Neurospora crassa OR74A: one gene and its partners. The protein of the gene in region 1 purifies or fractionates together with the protein of each later gene. This does not show direct contact. Links are inferred from orthologs where the notes say so. Each region holds a gene or a part of one and is shown in the gene's direction. Other genes may lie near its edges.

The links. The genes of interacting proteins can lie anywhere in the genome.
Region 2: the proteins of NCU01164 (region 1) and NCU09118 purify together in Saccharomyces cerevisiae (affinity purification with mass spectrometry; 3 studies listed by BioGRID). This does not show direct contact. The link is inferred for Neurospora crassa OR74A from reciprocal best matches to the Saccharomyces cerevisiae genes SPT16 and TOP1.
Region 3: the proteins of NCU01164 (region 1) and ckb-2 purify together in Saccharomyces cerevisiae (affinity purification with mass spectrometry; 9 studies listed by BioGRID). This does not show direct contact. The link is inferred for Neurospora crassa OR74A from reciprocal best matches to the Saccharomyces cerevisiae genes SPT16 and CKB2.
Region 4: the proteins of NCU01164 (region 1) and NCU07870 purify together in Saccharomyces cerevisiae (affinity purification with western blotting; 4 studies listed by BioGRID, with this or other methods). This does not show direct contact. The link is inferred for Neurospora crassa OR74A from reciprocal best matches to the Saccharomyces cerevisiae genes SPT16 and POL1.
Region 5: the proteins of NCU01164 (region 1) and NCU06260 purify together in Saccharomyces cerevisiae (affinity purification with mass spectrometry; 3 studies listed by BioGRID). This does not show direct contact. The link is inferred for Neurospora crassa OR74A from reciprocal best matches to the Saccharomyces cerevisiae genes SPT16 and CEG1.

The regions. Positions count from the first base shown.
Region 1 is NC_026505.1:3,095,792-3,099,950, forward strand, and holds the start of NCU01164 (transcription elongation complex subunit), read left to right. Parts: upstream 1-1,351; 5' UTR 1,352-1,914; coding exon 1,915-2,091; intron 2,092-2,190; coding exon 2,191-2,275; intron 2,276-2,331; coding exon 2,332-2,453; intron 2,454-2,524; coding exon 2,525-4,130; intron 4,131-4,159. Other genes in the region: NCU01163 (GAF domain nucleotide-binding protein), read right to left, coding at 62-166, 302-304. UniProt on the Saccharomyces cerevisiae protein: Component of the FACT complex, a general chromatin factor that acts to reorganize nucleosomes. The FACT complex is involved in multiple processes that require DNA as a template such as mRNA elongation, DNA replication and DNA repair.
Region 2 is NC_026501.1:5,391,587-5,395,795, reverse strand, and holds the start of NCU09118 (DNA topoisomerase I), read left to right. Parts: upstream 1-1,407; 5' UTR 1,408-2,140; coding exon 2,141-2,192; intron 2,193-2,384; coding exon 2,385-2,608; intron 2,609-2,668; coding exon 2,669-4,209.
Region 3 is NC_026501.1:3,448,764-3,452,579, forward strand, and holds ckb-2 (casein kinase II subunit beta-2), read left to right. Parts: upstream 1-1,176; 5' UTR 1,177-1,550; coding exon 1,551-1,607; intron 1,608-1,690; coding exon 1,691-1,936; intron 1,937-2,018; coding exon 2,019-2,573; 3' UTR 2,574-3,314; downstream 3,315-3,816. Other genes in the region: NCU11228 (DUF1339 domain-containing protein), read left to right, coding at 1-499; NCU02755 (PAP2 domain-containing protein), read right to left, coding at 3,645-3,816. UniProt on the Saccharomyces cerevisiae protein: Regulatory subunit of casein kinase II/CK2.
Region 4 is NC_026503.1:1,182,420-1,186,556, reverse strand, and holds the start of NCU07870 (DNA polymerase alpha catalytic subunit), read left to right. Parts: upstream 1-1,335; 5' UTR 1,336-1,510; coding exon 1,511-1,799; intron 1,800-1,890; coding exon 1,891-4,137. Other genes in the region: NCU07871 (hypothetical protein), read right to left, coding at 1-727. UniProt on the Saccharomyces cerevisiae protein: Catalytic component of DNA polymerase alpha, which in complex with DNA primase (DNA polymerase alpha:primase) constitutes a replicative polymerase. POL1 has a role in promoting telomere replication during interaction with CDC13.
Region 5 is NC_026503.1:2,102,128-2,106,152, forward strand, and holds NCU06260 (mRNA-capping enzyme subunit alpha), read left to right. Parts: upstream 1-1,488; 5' UTR 1,489-1,945; coding exon 1,946-2,124; exon of another isoform or gene 2,125-2,134; intron 2,135-2,187; coding exon 2,188-3,217; 3' UTR 3,218-3,523; downstream 3,524-4,025. Other genes in the region: NCU06259 (sorting nexin-41), read left to right, coding at 1-184, 244-339; NCU06261 (uracil phosphoribosyltransferase), read right to left, coding at 3,928-4,025. UniProt on the Saccharomyces cerevisiae protein: Second step of mRNA capping. Transfer of the GMP moiety of GTP to the 5'-diphosphate terminus of RNA via a covalent enzyme-GMP reaction intermediate.

The DNA.
Region 1 (4,159 bases):
CTTTTTAGACATTGTCCCTTCCTGATGTGGTGGTGCAAGCAGGCTTGGTTCCTCATCTTACCCAGTTCCTCTGCTCATAGAACAGACCTTCAGCTTGGTCAAGAACCTGCTGGTAGGCCTCTTCCTTGGTGACGTTGGCAGCAAAGTTGGAAGCGTCGGCGTGAACCTATAAGACGAATACCGTGTTAGTCTCAACCGTCCTCAAGTTTGGAGAAGCCTGTAGTTCGTAGGTAGGTATGCGCGATGAGGTCTTCAACTGTCTCGAAACAAAGGATTGGACTGATTGAAACTGTTCACGAACCATTTTGACGTATTATTATGACCCTGTTCTTTCTATGTACAAATCTTGAAAATCGACCTAGAGTGGTGGTGTTGGACACCGAGGAAGCGAACTTCAACTTTTGAAATTTGTCATTCACTTCTGAATCCGGGGAAGTGGGGCCAAATGGCACTGCTCCGGTCGGGTCCGTGCGGAACTGCCGCCGTACCGGCAGCCGATGGGCCGGCCCCGAGTGGCCTCCGGTGGATTCACGGTTTCGATCCCAAAGAGGACCGGACTGAATCACCAGCCGGATAAAGGAATCCAAGATAATTGTGCGGATACTTACTAGATGGTGTGGGAGGCTCGTCCTCGCTTCATACTGGGCAGGATACAGCTCAAGGGCCCTTCTCGGAAGTTGTGCTGATGGCAGCTTGTCTTCTATTAGTGATCTGGACCTTATGATGTGCTGTCTAAGTTACCCGAACCAAGGTCCAGAAGATGCCCAAATGGTTGTCGAGACGGCAGCGGGAACTACTTATTTTTGCAGTACAGCAGCTCGCTTTGCAGTGAACGTCAAATCACGGACAAGTGATTGGTTCGATGGGCACAGTTCGTCGTCTTCCACCATTCAGTAAAGTTTCCCGTCGGGCAGATGTTAGCCAATTTTTCCATCTCATGGCGGTATCTTCCAGAATGCCGATCTATCAAGTATAGATGTGAAACATCACAGGTTTTCCGAGCGGCATCTTGGACATTGCTCTTTGCACTTGTACGCGGTGTCTGGGCCCGTCGAGTCTATTCTTGAAGATAGTGTTGCTGTCGTTTCGCACAGTGATTGCCATCACTCGTTCATTTATTCATTCAGGTTGACATGGGTATCAGCTCTAGGTTGATCGCTGCTGAGGACGTTCTTTGCGTCGAAGTAAAGAAAGGTGAGTTCTGGTTAGTACGTCTACTAGTATTTAAATGGAAGAAGTTCGGCACCCCAGAGCTTCCATCGCTTGCCAAGACTTAGTTTAATCGTACCTGTGCATTGGAAACTTAGCTCCACCCCTCCCGTCCCTCTGTTTCCATTCCACGCCCTGTCCCGCCTGTCCCTCTTTCATCTCCATGCACTCGCTGCAGGGCACCTAAAGAAAGAGGTACAAGTTCGACTTACAAAGTTAACAGAATCGCAAGTTGTTGGAAGTCCCGACGACACCATTTACGCTCGTCTATTTCCATCATTCATCAATATACTTCTCTACGATTCCCATACTACAGACCTTTCAGGAATATCACCATTGCCGTGGCAACCAGCATATATAGTTGCCTCAGGCACAGAACAGAACCTCTTAGGCATCCTAACGCGAAGGCAGTGGACAGGGGCGCCAAGAGCTGTGGCCCGTGACGTGAGCGACGCGCGACACGGGAATTTTTGTGTCTTTGGCCTGGAACCGGATCCCGGCTGGCAAGCACTGTAAAGTACTAGCAGTGCCGGCTGGAGAGGTGTGGTAGCCTTGTTTCTGTCATCTTGAAGGGTGTCTGCCGCCACCGTCAGTACCAGAGCAAGCAGCCCCTCGCCAAAAGCACGACTTCACCCAAACCCAAACCTCTGCTGATTTGATTGTTTCTGCCATCTTCAATCGCGCGCCGCTGTGCCGTCGCTCATCATGGCAGACATCAAAATCGACAGCAAGGTCTTCCAGGAGCGCGTCTCGCACTTCTACAATGCCTGGAAGGCCGACAAGCGCTCCGGAGACGCTCTCTTCGGTGGCGTCTCTTCCATCGTCATCCTGATGGGCAAGGTCGACGAGAACCCCGAGTTTCACAAGAACAACGCTATCCATGTGAGTTTTGCCCTCTGGAGAGCCCGCTCGGCGTGCGCTGGCTGTACGTCTGGCGGGCCATTCCAGTCAAATGACAGCTGCTGATAGCTCTACGTAAAGTTCTGGCTGCTAGGTTACGAGTTCCCGACGACCCTCATGCTGTTTACCCTCGACACCATCTACATTCTCACCACCCAAAAGAAAGGTTCGCCCGGTATTCCCGACCCAAGAACGCGGACAAACTATCTGACACGTTAATAGCCAAGTACCTCGACCAAGTGAAGGGCGGCAGATACCCCGTTGAGGTCCTCGTGCGGGGGAAGGACGCCGCCGAGAACGAGAAGCTTTTCATCAAAATTACGGATGCCATCAAGGCTGCGGGCGTAAGTTACATCCCATCCTGGGCGCACATCAACATCTCGGTGCGGTTCTAACACATTTTCGCTCGTTATAGAAGAAGGTTGGCGTCCTTACCAAGGACACCTCCAAGGGCCCCTTTATCGACGAATGGAAGAAGGTCTATGCCGATAACTGCAAGGATGTGGAGGAGGTTGACGTTGCCCAGGCTCTGTCTGCTGGCGCCTTCTCCGTCAAGGATGAGACCGAGCTTCGTGCCATGCGGACCTCGTCCAAGGCTTGCGTCGCCCTCCTGACCCCTTACTTCCTCGACGAAATGTCCAATATCCTCGACCAAGATAAGAAGATCAAGCACAGCGCACTAGCCGATAAGGTCTTCAACAAACTGGAAGACGATAAGTTTTGGAAGACCGTCGAGCTGCCCAACCGACAGAAGCTCCCGGCTGACCTCGATCCCGAGCAGCTGGACTGGATTCTGGGACCGATCGTCCAAAGTGGTGGCAAATTTGACCTGAAGTGGCAGGCTGATTCTGACAATGATATACTCCACCCGGGAATTATCATCGCGGCTATGGGTCTCAGATACAAGTCCTATTGCTCCCAAATCGCCAGAACTTTCATGGTCGATCCCAACAAGTCCCAAGAAAGCAACTACAAGTTCCTACTTGCTGTCCACAACCTCATTCTCAAGGAGATCCGGGATGGTGCCATTGTCAAGGATGTTTACACCAAGGCCTACAACTTTGTGCGGTCCAAAAAGCCCGATCTTGAGAAGCACTTTCTTAAGAACGTCGGCTTTGGAATCGGCCTGGAGAACAAGGACCCGACCTTGATTCTCAACAACAAGAACACCCGTACCCTTAAGGATGGCATGACACTGGTTGTGACCACCGGCTTCAGTGATATCCAGAACCCCAACCCCCAAGACAAGAACAGCAAGGTCTATTCCTTGATCCTTTCCGATACGATCCGTGTCACTAGCTCCGAGCCGGTGGTGTTTACTGGCGAGGCGCCTGTCGATGTTGATGCCACCTCGTTCTTCTTCAAAGATGAGGAAGAAGCACAGCCCACACCGAAAAAGGAGAAGCGGGACTCTAGGGTGGGTGCCGTTGCAACCAAGAACATCACTAGCACTCGTCTACGCTCTGAGCGTAATACAACGGTAGATGAGGACGCGGACAAGAGACGTCGCGAGCATCAGAAGGAACTCGCGCAGAAGAAACAGAAGGAAGGCTTGGCCAAATACGCCGAATCTACCGCTGATGAGAATGGCGTCGAAATCAAAAAGTTCAAGCGCTTCGAATCTTACAAGCGGGATAATCAATTCCCGCCCAAGGTTAAGGATATGGGCATCGTTATTGATCAAAAGAACGCGACCATAGTACTGCCTGTTATGGGCAGGCCGGTACCCTTCCATATCAACACCATCAAGAACGCAAGCAAGAGTGACGAGGGCGAGTGGTCATTCTTGAGAATCAACTTCCTATCTCCTGGCCAGGGTGTGGGTCGGAAGGATGAGCAGCCCTTCGAAGATGCATCTGCGCACTTCGTCAGGAGCTTGACTTTCAAATCAACCGATGGCGATAGGTATGCTGACATTGCAAACCAAATCTCGAACCTCAAACGAGACGCTGTCAAGAAGGAGCAGGAGAAGAAGGATATGGAGGACGTAGTTGAGCAGGACAAGCTCGTTGAAATCAGAAGTAAGTCGCTTTCCCGGATCAATTGTATT
Region 2 (4,209 bases), on another chromosome or scaffold:
TAAATATTTTCAACCTCAAACTATCCGAAGAATAACTCAGTAAATAGGGCCTATATCTCTTTATATAGTATAAAAGTAGGGTAATTTAGACCATCGGGTATATTAACGGTATACTAAATAATAAGACTACTATTATTAAAAGCTTCCTTTATATTGTTATTTTCGTCGAAAAAACTAATAAAATCTATACTTCTACGCCTAACTTTAAACTACTCTACTATAAATACCTTAATATTAAACGACTTTAGTTTAATAACTTATCCTTTTATCGCTACTTTTATTACGCATTTACTATACCTTAATTGGAGGCGAGCCTAAAGGTCGAATATCTCTTTAATAATATTATAATTATTATCCTCTATAAGTGTATTATTGTAGTTTACTCTATTATCGACGTCTTGCTCTACTTATATATAATCCGGGACTTAAATATTAGATGGAGTAGAAGAGAGAGCAAATAATTCTTTAATTCCTAATAGTTTAGTTGCTAAAGAAGTACGTTAGTAATATGGTTATACTTAAGAGCGATTACGACGATGTTGTATGTGGGCTGGAAGATTGCGAATGGATTGCGCATCCTTGTGTTGGGAGTCTTCCTCTATGGTAATGATAATGAAATTGATACCGTTGGAAAGCTGTGATTTTTGCGATCCGAATTAACTAGAAACCCTCGTGATGCGACGTGTTGTTGTGAAGTTATAGTGTTGAGGTTGATATTCTGGGGGGTTGGTCAACCTCTACGCGATTCTAATCGAGTTGTGTACTCAGACCTCCTTGAGCGGAGGGCCAAAATATTGCCCGGTTTGGAAAGAAAATTCAATTTATCAATAAAATGCTGAGATTGTGGTATTCGTTACAGGTCCGTGCACGCCCGGGAGCTCAAGGTGGGTCTGAGCGCTGAGATAACTACTTAGCATCGATCCGGTTGTGAATTTGGTGCTCACTTGAACGAGGAAGTGCCTTGCAAACGGTTGTATCAAAAGCGTCCACGTCTCAGTGTCCTTGACGGTAAATAACTTGAACCTAAGTCACCCACAGATTAAGCAAGCACACGGAAGCTTCACTAGGGTGAAGATCAGACGACGCGGTGTTTTTCTGTTTGAATGAACAAGGTGTGTCAGTATGCCTTCAGCTTTCTGGAGCAATCATTGTGAGGCTGGGTGCTCACGATCCCAGTGGTGCCTAGCGTACTGTTGTTGGAGCGCCCGTCTTTGCCACACGCAACAGAGAACTTCCATTCCATAGATTCTACGTACCGCACTCACGACACTGACGGGCGTACGCTACGCTAGAAACTGAACGCTCAGACTCAAGGTACCGAGAGCGGGGACGCGCTAAAAAGGTACCGGCCTCTCAAAGTCGACCACCTCAGGGATTTTGGGGCAGGTGAGGTGCACCGACCCAGGCGAACCAGGGAGAATTGCGGTACAGACTGGACCTGGCGAACATCCCCCTGCGACCGCGACGACGCATCGAAACCTTCCCTTCCGTTGGCTGGAGTCCCGACTGGAGACTCAGTTCTCACTCACCACACACCCACACACCCACCCACCCACAGCACCCATCGATACTTCCACAGCCTGGCGGTCCTGGCAACGACCGCCCAGAAAGAGTTGCAGGGTGGAGCCCCAGGATTTATCTTTAACAGCCTCCCGACTGCCCTTGCTCTTCCCGAATTCGTTCATGCTGCCCTCCGCCTTCGCTTTTTTCCCTTCACTTCTTCTCCCTCACCTTGCGCCATTCTGGTTCTCTCCACCCTCCAGGCTCTCCACATCCTCTCTCTTTTTTTTTTCACACACTCGTTCCCTCGACCGGCCATCTCGATTTTTCGCGCACCCAAGACCTTGACGAGTTCCCGAGACCCTCGCTTTCCAGCCTTGGTCACCAAGTGACTTGCACCAAGACTCTGTCCACGGTCAAAGGTGTAAGCGGTCACCTCCAGCGGCGAATTTCTTTCTCTCCACGTCTCCCTTCCTAGCGACGACCGACGACAACATTTTCGACTCGGTTGCCCTGCAGACATCTTGCTAGCAACCCTTCGCCACTGTTTAGCGGCCGCTACCTCTACGGGTCGGATTTTGCGCCCTTACACATTCGTACGTACCTACTAGTGCCGACACCGCAACACGCTTTAGCAACCATGTCTTCGGGCTCTGAAGACGACAAGCCGCTCGCCAAGGTCAACGGCCACGGTACGTCAATGCTTCTGTGATCAGTCACACACTTTCATCCATCAGCCCTCGCTTATTTCACTCTATCCTCTGCCCCGTCACACTGTTTGCCAGCCGATCTGAGTCAACGTGTCATGCCTTCCATGGCCTCGTCTAAATGCAATCTGTCATTGTACCACGCCCATGAGACTAATCTTTTCTCTTCAACTATAGCCTCGGCGCCGACCATCTCCAAGGCCGATGATCGTGCCATGGACGCTGCTGATTCCAAGGTTCACATGGCTCCCGTTGGTGTCTCCATCCGTAATGGCCCCGTCGACCAGGACAGGATGGACGTCGACTCCTCAGTAAGCGGTCAGGCTAAGCGCAAATCGCGGACATCCATTGATCAGTCCATCAACTATAAGGATGACTCCAGTGATGACGAAGCACCCTTGGTAAGTTTCCCAGTCTTTGCAGCTTGGTATCCTTGCTTGGTCTGTGGCTGACCAGGACAGGCGAAACGTTCAAAAACACAACATAAGCAACCAGACTCCGATAGCGACGACGAGCCGATTGCGAAAAAAAATGGCGCGAGATTGCCTCCCTCCGCCAAGAATACGGATATGGACGTAGATTCTGATGACGACGAACCTCTCGGAAAGATCGCCGCGAAGAAGGCCAATATCGAGAAGGAAGCCGCCAAGGAAGCCAAGAGTATTCGTGCTGGTACCAAGGCCAAGAAGCCTGCTGCTAAGAAGGCCGTCAAGGATGAATCCTCCGATGACGAACCCCTTGCGAAACCCACCAAGCGACAGGTCAACGGCACAGCTGCGAAGAAGACGAATGGTGTGAAGAAGGAAGAGTCTGACTCGGATGTGCCCATCGCTAAGCGGGCGAAGAAGGCACCTGCCGCGAAGCCTGCTGCAAAGCCTGCTGCAAAGCCGGCTGCAAAGGCTGCCACGAAGGCCGCCCCGAAGGGCAAGGTTGCCGCTGTCAAGAAGTCCGTCAAGGAGGAATCGAAGGACATCACCGATGAGGACGATGAGGAAGAGGAGTATAAGTGGTGGGAGGAGTCGGCAAAGAAGGAAGATGACAGTATCAAGTGGACCACCTTGGAGCACAACGGCGTCATCTTCCCCGAGGATTACCAGCGTTTGCCCAAGGACGTCAAACTGCTCTACGATGGAACGCCGGTCGAACTCGATATCGAGGCCGAGGAAGCTGCGACCTTTTTCGGCTTCATGCTTAACTCGACGGTGAATGTTGAGAACCCAACTTTCCAGAAGAACTTCTTCAGGGACTTCAAGGAGATCCTAGATCGGACAGGTGGCGCCAAGGACAAGAATGGCAAAAAGGTTGACATCAAGGAATTCGAAAAACTCGACTTCTCCCAGTTGTGGGCTTACAAAGATGCTCAAACGAAGGCTAAGAATGCCCGGTCGTCAGCAGAGAAGAAGGCCGAGAAAGCCGAAAGGGACAAGAGGGACGCCCCCTATCTATATTGCAAGTGGGATGGGCGAAAAGAAAAGGTTGGTAACCCCAGAGTGGAAATTCCAGGACTTTTCCGTGGTCGCGGTGATCACCCCAAGACCGGGTGTATCAAGAAGCGTGTTTTGCCAGAGCAAATTACCATCAACATCGGCAAAGAGGCCAAGGTCCCAGAGCCGCCAGCTGGCCACAAGTGGAAGGCCGTTCAACATGACAACAAGGCAACTTGGCTCGCGATGTGGCAAGAGAACATCAACGGACACTACAAGTATGTGATGTTGGCAGCAAACAGTACTGTGAAGGGCAAGGCCGATTTCAAGAAGTTCGAAAAGGCCCGTGAGCTCAAGAAATACATTGATCGCATCCGTGCCGATTATACCAAGGACCTCAAGAGCGAGGTCATGGCTGACAGGCAACGCGCAACGGCCATGTACCTCATTGACAAGTTCGCTCTCAGAGCCGGTAACGAAAAGGATACCGAGAACGAGGCCGAGACTGTCGGTTGCTGCTCTCTCAAGTACGAGCACGTCACCCTCAGGGAACCCAACACTGTCATTTTCGACTTCTT
Region 3 (3,816 bases), on another chromosome or scaffold:
GCGTTCCTGGCGTACTCTGTTCGCCTATCTCCCTCCACCTCAGGAGCTGTTTGAGGAGAGCTTGCAGCGTGGGAGCCTCAAGACTGCTGGCGGCTACTTACTCATCCTCCATACCTTTGACGAACTCGCAACAGCAAGCGAGCAGAGTGTGCGTCTCTTAAGCAGAGCAATGCGCGAGGGCGACTGGGAGCTATGCAAAGAGCTGGCGCGGTTTTTAGCAGCGCTCGATGAAACGGGGGACACGCTGCGTGAAGCAATGGAGCTGGCCAAGATGCGAGTGAAGCAGGAAAGTGAGCTGGAGGATGGCCATGGCAGCGTAGGCAGCGGGCTGGGCACAATGCTTGGAGTTCCTCAGGGTGGTGGTGCTAACGGTGCTTCCAGCACTACCAGCTCATTGATTTCCAATACCAAGGGGATCATAGGTAGTGACTGGGATGCTGACAGGCGCACAATCAGCGACGCCGGCAGCGTTGTCAGTGCTAATCGGTACGAAGGTTAATGAAGTGGATGGAAATTGGAAAGCGGATAGTTGGTTGTAGGATTGTTGGATATCCATAGCCGTGGCGCTCACGATCCTACCAGAACGTCACTTTATGATGAAGCGGGGGTCTTGAGCTCTAGACACATGCTGTAGGGCAACACAGATGTTATAGAAGCCGGGATGTTTCAAGATAATCTAGAACAGCTATAATCACAGGCGACTGGCGTTCTTATCCCCCATTTTTATTTATTTATATATATTTTTTTTGGGTTTTCCGTCTCCAACAATATACCTGCTCAAAAATAAGGCACAAACTGTAGCACTGAACGTCATGACGCCCAATAGAATACCTACCTTAATGACAGAGTACATGCTTCCATCCCCAGTACCTGTGAACGTACAATTAAAGTCATACGCTGGGCCGTTGGGCTGACTGAAGGCCGACGAAAGGTACCCGCCCGCTACCTACCTACCTACCTAGGTAGGTACTTAGGTAGTCAGATGGTCGATTTTGCAGACCTGATAACCTACCTCTGTGTAGTGCCCTGGGTAGGTCGGGACTGCTGATAAACAGACTGCGATGAGCCAGGGGCGGGGGGGCACTGCAACCTGCCCTGCGGGGACCACTGCAACGGCGATGAACCCCCCACCAAAAAAAAAAGTCCCTTGTCATGGACTGTCAGCCTGTTTGGCTCCCGGTCTAGAGTCCAGACCCCCTCGCCTGCCCTGCCGTTGCCCTGCACCAGGGACGGCTTTGAACCCTCTTCCACCTGAACTCCCATCAAACCGTCGCAAAAAAGCATCACAATCCTCTCCAACGTCTTGTCGTCATTGTGCCTTGTGCCAGCTCAATCTCATCCGACTCGGACCTCCCACTCCCCATCTACGGCCCGGCGCGCATTAGTTCGGCCCAACAAAAGGTTCAAACGCCGTACTTGACCCCGGCACCCGGGATTTTGGCCTCGTTGATGCGAAGCGCCAGCCGACGGTCGTTCGCGCCCACTTTCCTCCCACCACCACCTTCCTCCCTTCCTTTTATGCGCCGAGTATAGACGTGGTGTCGCCGGCCATGGATGACTTTGTGAGCGAGTCTGAGAGCGACTATGCCAGCTATTGGCGCGACTGGGTATGCTTCTCTTGCAATTGTTGTTATTGTTTACTACAGTAAAGGTTCCCCAATCATGCTGACATTTGCGCGTCCGCCTGCAGTTTATTTCCTCGCGAGGCAATGAGTACTTTTGCGAAATTGACGAGGACTACATCACTGATAGGTTCAATCTAACTGGTCTCAACACTGAGGTCCAGTACTACCAATATGCTCTCGATCTCATCACCGATGTCTTCGACCTCGACTGCGATGACGACATGCGGGAAACAATAGAGAAGTCTGCTAGGCACCTGTACGGTCTTGTCCATGCTCGATACATTGTCACAACGCGGGGTCTTCAAAAAATGGTCAGTAATCAACTCTCAGCATTCCATCTTCATCCAGCGTCTCCTCGTCTTCATCCGTGACTAACGCACTTCCCACCAACAGTTCGAAAAGTACAAAAAAGCCGACTTTGGCAAGTGCCCGCGCGTCATGTGTTCCTCGCACCCTCTGCTGCCCATGGGTCTCTCGGACGTGCCCAACTCCAAGCCGGTGAAGCTGTACTGCGCGCGTTGCGAGGATATTTACAACCCCAAGTCGTCGCGCCACGCCGCCATTGACGGCGCCTACTTCGGCACCTCGTTCCACAACATCTTCTTTCAGGTATACCCGACCCTGGTGCCCGCCAAGAGCGTCGAGCGCTACATTCCGCGCTGCTACGGCTTCAAGGTGCACGCCGCTGCCGCTCTGGTGCGCTGGCAGAACAGCCAGCGGGACGAGATGCGTAGGCGGCTGAGGAAGCTCGAGGTCGAGAGCGGGTTCAAGGACGCCGAGGACGAGGCTGAGCTTGACGATGATGACGAGGAGGAGGAGGAGGAAGAGGAGGAAGAGGAGGAGCTGGCTGCTATGGATGAGGCTGAAGGTGCCCAACAGCAACATGCGGCGGCGGCGGCAGGTACAGCAACGGGAGGCGTTGCTGCCGGCGGTGAAGGCGTTCATTAGAAAGGGCCTGCTGCTACTGGTGGAGAAGCGGATGAAGAGTATTGGAATTCAGAAGCCACGATTGGAGCCGCCGACGAAGCTGACGATGAAGCTGAGCTACCAAACGAGCCAAACGAGCCGAACCATTGGTTGACACCTCTCATGTCTGCTGCTGCAAGGCTGCGACGGAGTCTCAGGCTAGGGGAGGACTATGAAGAGCAGGCTGAAGTGGAGTTCGATGAGTGGATGGAACAGGCGAGGTACGGGATCTTTTGACTTTTGAGGTGGTGGAATGCATATACCATACAGTATCGAGTAACAAAGTATGAGTACAGGTGCCTCTCTTCTCTTTGTTTTTTTGTTTCTATTCCCGCACCCCATAAGCCTCTACACAGCGGACGTCGGGATCGATGCGAATAAGGGAGAGAGAGCCATTGATAGAGTGTTTATGTTCTTTGGTCTAGCTATACGTCTTTTCGGTTCTTACCAGACGATTTCTTCTCACCTTGCCGGCTTTGCTTCTCTTCGTCTGTGCTGAACTGCACCCTTCTCTGTTTCAAGCCTCCTAAAAACCAATCGTCAAATCGACGGGAAGTTGAACTTAACGCTTGAAAGGCAGTCTCTTGGAGCGTGAAAATTCAAAACGACCAGACCATATATCCAAGCGTCTACTGAGGAAAGATTCACAAGCGGTGTCATGCGGCAACACGAACCTTTCAAATACATGAACTGTTACCACAGCATAAACACGTTGATTAATGCCGAAGACCAGTGTGCTCAAACTTCCCTTGAAGAGTTACCAGGTAGATATGTGTACATATGGATAGGTTCCTCATTTCCCTATCTCAAAACGCCTCCTGAACATAAGAGAGACTGTACCAAAACCCATGTTGGTGACATAAAACCATTTGTTGTTCCTCATATTTCCTCGTTTAGAGAAATAATCGCTTTTGTCATCAAGCCCACCCATCCGGGCCAAGTCCCTACTTCCGGAAAATGCACCTTGACTCTTCTGATCCGACAATGCGTCGAAATTTGCCTTTCATATCTGATCGTCATTTACCCGTCTCTGTAAGCTGTGTCAACCTGTTCTCATTGATCAACGTCAAGCGACGGTGGTTTCCTCCCCGTGATGATCCCACCGGGCTGGTCCGGTCCCACATTGCTTTCCAAACCGGTGCCATTGGCCCGTACCACGGGGTGCCCATAGCTGCTGCCGTGATCTAAAGAATCCGGACTCAGCGCCTCCTCCTCGTCTCCCGCG
Region 4 (4,137 bases), on another chromosome or scaffold:
GTACTGTCGTGAACATGCTGTCCAAATCGCCGGCGCGGGCACATGTCTCGAGGACAGCGTTAAGATGAATTGTGGTTGGCTTCACGCGCTCATTCCTGAGCAAGCTGTGGTAGATCTTGACGGCTTCTGCAACTGCCTGCTTGGGGTGCTCGCTCATGGCGCAGCCTCGGAAGATGATGGTGTAAGTCCTGGCATCTGGAACCTGGGCGCGCTTCTTCATCTCGTTGTAGATCTTGATGGCGGCAGACAGACGCTTGTTCTTCATGTGGTAGTCGATCAGATGGTTCCACGAGACTTGGACCTTTGCGTTCTTGCTGGCCTTGCGGGTGAGAACAAGGGCCTCTTCATATTTTCCTTTGTCAAGGGTCAACTTGACCTGCTTCTCGATGTGGAAGGGATCCTTGAAGTGCTTTAGTTGTAAAGCCGCACTGCGCTCCAGCTTCTTCCGCTGCTCGTCGCTCAGGTCCCTCTTCTTCCTCTTCCCTTCCGACCCGTCTCCATCTTCTTCCCCTTCCGGCGCTTCGAGATCGAGGGTAACGGAGGGATCGGCGGCAGTCTTTGGCTTGAGGGCGGGCAAGTGGTAGGATCGTATGGTGGTCGTGGACTGGCTTGGTGTAAGTGCGCCTAACCTTGGAAGGGCCAGACGAGATCCAACTGCAGGCGCATTTATCCTAGCCAAAGCTCCAGGAGCCAGGCCTTTCCGCAGACAAGCCCGGCACACAAACATGGTTTGCGGACAACCGAGTTTGCCCTTGATTGTTTTGAATCTTTTTCTTCTGCGAGGTACGGGCCGAGGTACCTGTGTTGCTAATGGTCGGTTGGTGGGGTATCTGGATCGTCGAGTTTCCTGTGACGATTTCCTGTTGTTCTAGACAACTTTGAGAATTGGGCGATGTGGTATCAAAGCTATGGCCCGGGAAGAAATCGATATTTGGTATTTTGCTGCGGCGGGCGCACAACTGCCCTGGACTCTGGACGGAGGATGATGCTGAGATGGAGACCGTGAATGATGGCCAAAAGTTAGGATGACATTCCGAAATTTTGGAGACTGATCTACAAAAATGCCTGCCGCGGCCTTTTGCACTTGTGGAGACGCGGTGGGTCGGGGGTCGGCATCAGGTACACTGACAGGGGCCCCGTTGCTGAAAGGTACGTACACTATGTACGTGGGCCACTACGTTGCTTTCCTTAGGTATCCGCTTAGGCCAAAGCAGCAGAACTGCCCCACCTCTTAAACACGACCGTGACGGGGACAAGGGTTCGCGCTTACAGTTTACAGTAAAGTACGCGACGAGTAACGAAACTAAACGCGACTTTCTTTTTGTTACTGGAGGGGACCAATTGAACCCTGTAATCCCACTATATTTCTCTTACGACTCTTGTCACCAACACTACCACATCACGGTGGCCCCGTCGACATTCTCTCCAGAGTGTTGGCCTGGTGCTCCTCTGTTGTCTCGTCACCATCCAATCTCCAATCCTAAAGGCAACATCACAACGGCCTGTCAAAATGTCCAGACGAGTAGCCAAGCGAGACAAGTACGCTGAGCTGCGCGAACTGCGCCAGTCCGGCAAGAAGAAGACCTACGACGTCGGCGAGATCGACGAGCTCTACGAAGAAGTCGACGAGAACCAGTACAAGAAAATCGTCAGAGACCGCTTGAACGAGGACGATTTCGTGGTTGACGACAATGGCGAGGGTTATGCCGACGACGGCCGCGAAGAATGGGACCGTCTCCCCCAGTACCACAGCGACAGCGAGGAGGAATTAGGCCTACCCGGCAGCAAGCCGCGCAAGTGTGAGCAGATCGAGACGCTGAAACCCGACGATGGGAGCAACTTATAAAGCACTCTGGTTCTGGTACTGACCTTCGTTCTCCTCCCTCTTAGCCAAGAAACAAAAGGAACATGAAGATGCGAAACGAGATGCCAACGACAGAGACATCACCGAATACTTCACGAAAGGCGCCGTCAAAGCCCCACCAAAACAAAAGGTCATCAAAACAGAAGAAGATGAAAAGTTCTTGGACGACCTCATCGACCAGGTCACCGCACAAATCCCCGTCCCGGTCACACGAGTATCCAAGAAGCGAGATCGATCAGTCGAGAGGAGAAAGGTCCGGGTGCTCTCCCCGGTACGGGAACCTCGGCCACCCATGGCAAAGAGAGCCAAGACAGTCGATGATCGGGCATCATCCCCAGCAGGAGACGACGACCTTCTACCAGACGACGACTACCTGCCTGCTATGGACGACGAACCTGCACCAGTCTCCGATTATCTTATGAGCGACGCCATCATGCCCTCCTCACCGGCCGCCAAAGTAGCAACACGGAGGACGTTTGGCAGGCCGGAACCCAAAAAGAATGAGGATGATGAGGACGAAGATGAGGACATGATGGAGGTTGCCCATACTGGAGCGGTAACAGCCGCCAGCGTCAACATATCAGCATCCCGTCAAATCAAAAAGATTCTCAAGACAGAGCCCGTCCCGGCCAGTTCGTCACCCGCAAGGGCACCAGCGCCAGAGGTCGACGCTGCTTCCTGGAACGAGATCAATCAGAAGCTCAATGTCGTATCCATGTCACAAAGCGAGGGCAGGAGCGTTGGCAAGATTGACTACAAGGACGCTATCGAAGAAGACGGCAGCTTGAACATGTTCTGGACAGACTACACAGAGGTCAACGGCAGTTTGTGCTTGTTTGGCAAGGTCCTAAACAAAAAGACCAAAACCTACGTCAGCTGCTTTGTCAAGGTTGACAACATTCTCCGGAAGCTTTTCTTCCTGCCGCGCAAGTACCGTGTGCGAGGTGGCGAGGAAACAACAGAAGAGGTGGAAATGATGGACGTCTACAACGAGGTTGATGAAATCATGACCAAGATGAATGTCGGCATGCACAAGATCAAGGCTTGCACCCGCAAGTACGCATTCGAGCTTCCCGACGTTCCCAAGGAGAGCCAGTATTTGAAGCTCCTCTACCCATATACCAAGCCTGCGATGGAACCCACCCACAAAGGCGAAACCTTCTCCCACGTCTTTGGTACCAATACCGCTCTGTTCGAGCAGTTTGTGCTCTGGAAGAACATCATGGGCCCCTGCTGGCTCAAGATCGAGGATGCAGACTTCACTTCCTTGAGGAATGCTTCGCACTGCAAGCTGGAGGTCCTGGTAGAACATCCCAACATGGTGTCGGTCCCGGATAACGCCGAGAGTATTGAGCCTCCTCCTTTGACGTTGTTAAGCCTGGCTATGCGCACAGCGTTCAACCCTAAGGATAATAAGCAGGAGATTCTCGCGGTTAGCGGGAGAGTCTACCTTGATGTGTCGCTCAGTGACACCACTCCCCCAGACAAGCTTGCTTCTCGTAGTTTCACCGCTGTTAGACCTTACGGTAGCGCATTTCCTATCGGCTTCGAGACGCTTGCCAAGGAAAGAAACAGAGGTGTGCTCAAGCTCTTCAAGCAGGAACACGAGATCTTGAATTTCTTGCTCGCACAGATCGATGTTGTCGATCCAGACGTTATCCTTGGCCACCAGCTAGAAGGTGTTGACTACAGCATCTTGCTGAACCGGCTGCACGAGAAAAAGACACATCAATGGTCTCGTTTGGGCAGACTCAGGCGCTCTCAGTGGCCCTCGTCCATTGTTAAGATGGGTGGCAATGTATTTGCCGAACGTCAGATAATGTCTGGCCGTCTGCTATGCGATCTTGCTAACGATGCCGGTAAATCAGTAATGACCAAGTGCCAGACCTGGTCCTTGACCGAGATGTGCAGTCTGTATCTGGGAGGCGAAAGTCGTAGGAGGGATATCGACAACGAAGTCGCCCTGAAGACGTGGGCTAACGCTGACAAACATGGTTTGATGGACTACATCTCCCACGCCGAGACTGACACTTACTTCATCGCGGCTCTTGCACTCAGGACTCAAATTCTTCCTCTTACCAAGGTTCTCACCAACCTGGCTGGTAACTCGTGGGCAAGAACACTTACCGGTACGCGTGCTGAGCGGAACGAGTACATTTTGCTTCACGAATTCCACCGCAACAAATATGTCGTCCCGGACAAGCAGACCTTCAAGGGTCGGCAACGCATCGAGGAGGAAAACGCAGAAGAGGAAGGCGGAGAAGGAGGAAAGA
Region 5 (4,025 bases), on another chromosome or scaffold:
AGTGGTGGACGTTGATCCTGAGCGGACCCGGCGTGACACTATTGGAAAGACTAGGGAATCCATCGTGCAACTGGAGCAAGCACAGATTGCATCGGCCAAGGATGTCAAGGACGCGAGCGCGAGCGTCCTCAAGGATCTAAAGAGGTTTCAACGTGAGAAGGAGGATGACCTCAAGCGGTACATGGTAAGACCACGACAATTTACAGTATACCGATCACGACCAATTGCTAACTTGGGTCTTAGCTCGCGTATGCCAAGAGCCAGATTGAGTGGGCAAAGAAGAACCAGGAGACTTGGGAGGAAGCGAAGGCCGAGGTCAACAAGATCAACGAGTCTTAGTCGAACAGAGTGGTCCGTTCTCCGAGTGGGTTGGTTCATATCAAACGTCATGAGGGATGATTTATCATGTGGAGAGTGTACCAACAACTTTCCGGGCGTTGAGGAGATGTCAAAAGGGTTGTTTTTTGTCTTGATGACGAATATCAATTTAGACGAGAATAAAACATAATGAGAGTCCATGCATTACGACTGATGGAGCAGGACTACCTATTTTCTGATATTTGTCCCTTCATTTTGTGCAACCCAGGCGGGCATGTTGGACGAGAGGTTGGACGGGTTGCAATGGGCCAGACAGCAGGCAACTACGTAACATGCAACAACGAACCTTGAATGGGCAGGTTCCACACTTCTTTCAAGGAATCTCGGGGGAGATCTGGAGGTGTAGTGTGGTGGAACGTACCTTGCATAGGCCAGATAGTTCACTTTTTGGACAAAAGCATGATCGGCATTGGACTGGTGGTTGCTGCCCCTGAGCCTTTGTCCACTACAACTGCATACGGTGGACCTCAAAGGTGAGTGTAAAGACATGGGAGACTTGGAATCTGATAATACCGTGTAGACTCGGGGCATCCGTTTTCAAGTTCCGTGGAAATCAGGCATGATCTGTGAGCATACTGTACTGCAACATCCATGGCCGCCAGAAATTGTATGCAAGACGTTAGTTGACTTCGAATATCCACCATCCAGCGCCTTTCCAAAAAATAGATGAAAAAAGGCAGAGTATAAGAAGAGTTGAGGTTACAGTTCTCCGGGGTAGCAACAAAACTCCATTTTTAATACTAGTTTTGCGGGCATAATATATACAAATCAGGCATATGCATGTCCGATTATGCCTGATTTCTAGAGAACCTGAAAACAGATACCCCGAGGTTGGGGCGATACAGTAGACGTACCATGTGAATGACGGAGGTGGTTTCCATCCAGGTCGCCTCCTTCACTTGGTCGCGTTCCAGAGGGCATGTAGCGCATATGGATGGTAGGCCTTGCTTCGCAGTATTTAATCAGTAAGTACCTACCTGTAGGTACAGTCCCGGTGAGAATGGAACTGAGACCCACTTGTTTGTGTCACGTGCATTGGCTACTCTTAGCCTATTTAAGCTAGCTTGTCTCTCCAGATCCCTCTTCTCTTCTACTCTTCAGCCTACTTTTGACCAATGAGAAATCATCACTTTTTAGAACCGTTATTTATACAGTAGTACGGGTACACCCACGAACCTCGAGTGGCATCCAGAAAACGGGCTACACCCTGTTGGCATGGCACTTATAGCGTGTCGTCCAGACGGTCCAGGGGATGCGATAAGATAAGCGTCACGCCCAAGAGTTCATGACGACCCGTTCTTGTCGACGAGACTTAGCAATTCGTGGCCTCCAACACCAACTTTGACCTCAACAACTTTTTACAGTCCATTGTTCACCACCCAGCATTTTTTTCGATTCCTCTTCTCGCGGCACAGCCTGAAAGAACCAGTATTGAATCGAACCTACGACATATCACAGCTATTGGATCTAGCCAGCTCTACTCCAGACAGCTGTCGCAAATCACCACCACCGTCTACGTCGTGTCCCGTCGCTCGTCCACGATCCGCTCTCGCTTGCCGCCCTCACAATGGAACAACCAGGGCCCATTACCGACATTGCCAAGCCTGGCATCAAAGCGCCCCGCGATTTGGCCATTTCGCTGCGAGAAGAAGTTGCTCGGATTCTAGGGAGGAGTTCCATTGGCTTTCCCGGAGCACAACCCGTCAGCTTTGCTCGCAAGCACCTGGAGGAACTACGAAGAGAGGAGTAAGCCAAGGCTCGTCTGTTACGGTTGCGCATGTCATGACTTCTGGCTAACCATCCGTAAAGCTACTATGTCTGCGAAAAATCCGACGGCATTCGCTACCTCCTCTACCTGACCGTCGACGAAGAAGGGCAGGAAGTCCAATACCTGATCGACCGCAAAAACGACTACTGGTTCCTCCCTCGCAACAGCATGCACTTCCCCATGCCAAACGACATTCAAGCCTTTCATCGCGGCACCATCATCGACGGCGAGCTGGTGATGGACACAGTGCCCGGCACAAACGGTCGAAAAGAACCGCGCTTCCTCGTCTTCGACCTACTCGCGCTCGACGACAAAGCCGAACTTTTGAACAAACCTCTCGACAAGCGCCTCGGCTACTTCAGCGCCTACATATACGAACCCTACAAAAAGCTGCTTCAACAGTTCCCACAGGAAATTCCCTTCATGGCCTTCAAGGTGGAGATGAAGCGCATGGAGCTGTCGTACGGCATCGAGACCATGTTCCGCGAAGTAATACCTGCCTTGAAACACGACAGCGACGGTCTCATCTTTACGTGCCGCACCACCCCTTACCACTTCGGCACCGACCCGCACATTCTCAAGTGGAAAGCGCCGCACGAGAACACGTTGGATTTCCGCATGCGCCTCAATTTCCCCCTTGTACAAGCCACCGAGGCCGAACTTGACGAAGGGTTTCCCGAACAATTTACAGATTACGACTCGGTCCCACAAGCGGAACTGTACGTTTTCTGCGGCAACGACGGACCGGGCGGAAGCAAATACGAACTCTTTCCGGACCCACTTTATATCGCGGAGGACGAGTGGGAGACGCTCAAGGCGCTGGGCGACCCGTTGCAGGATCGCGTGGTGGAGTGCTGTCTGGATGCCGAAAACCGGTGGCGGCTGTTCAGGTTTCGTGACGATAAGAATGAGGCGAACCATACGAGTACCGTCTCCAGCGTCATGGCGAGTATAAGGGATGGCGTGTCGGATCAGGAACTTCTGAGCGCGGCGACGGCGATAAAGGAGAGCTGGAAGATACGCGCGCAGAAGAGGAAGGAGCAGCAGCAGCAGCAGCAGCCGAAGCACTGATTGTGTGCCCAGCGCTGGCGGAGCAGGCCCGTGAGGTTTGAGCGGTGTTCTTTAGGGGCTATTTGGAGGGCCGGTGACTTTCCTCTTCCCTTCTTGTTTCCTTGTTCTATTTCATCGGTGTTTAGTGGTCTGACTTGGAAACAGGTGCTGATATCTGCACCGACTATACCTGGGCGTTTGGGGAATGGTGGGCTTTTGTTTTGGGCGGTAGCTCTTAATGCATATCTTTTTTTTGCCCTTTCCAGTTGTGAAATGGCATAGAGGGTGATTAGTATTACCCGTGCTGGGACCCCGCAGAGTTCTCTCTCTCTGTGCAGAATTGCGAGTGAGACTTGTCGATTCAAGTGATGTGTATCATTTATTTTGTCTTGGCTATGGGTAAGTTTGTTTCGAGTTGCCCTGATGACTACCCAAAACCATCCAACAGAACAATATTGAACTACCTTGTTGCTTTTAACTAGGTGAAAGACGCTGGGAGAACCTATCGGTCATTGTGCCATCGAATGACATGTCCTTTACATCGAGTTCATCTTACAAAGACCAAATCACTTCCTCAATCAAGTGCGAATGAAAGTAACTCAAAGAGAATTGTAAACTGTGTAAGCAACAGGACATAACGACACACCAGCACATGCATATAACGGTGTTCAATTGTATATCCAAATACTAAATAAATCTAACTCCCATTTCCTCTCCCCTCCCCTCATCATTTACTTGCCAATTGTCAAAAACAAGCGATCCCCCACATCTCCCAATCCCGGCTTCAACATACCCCCCTTTGTAAGTTCCTGGTCCACACCGGCCAGCC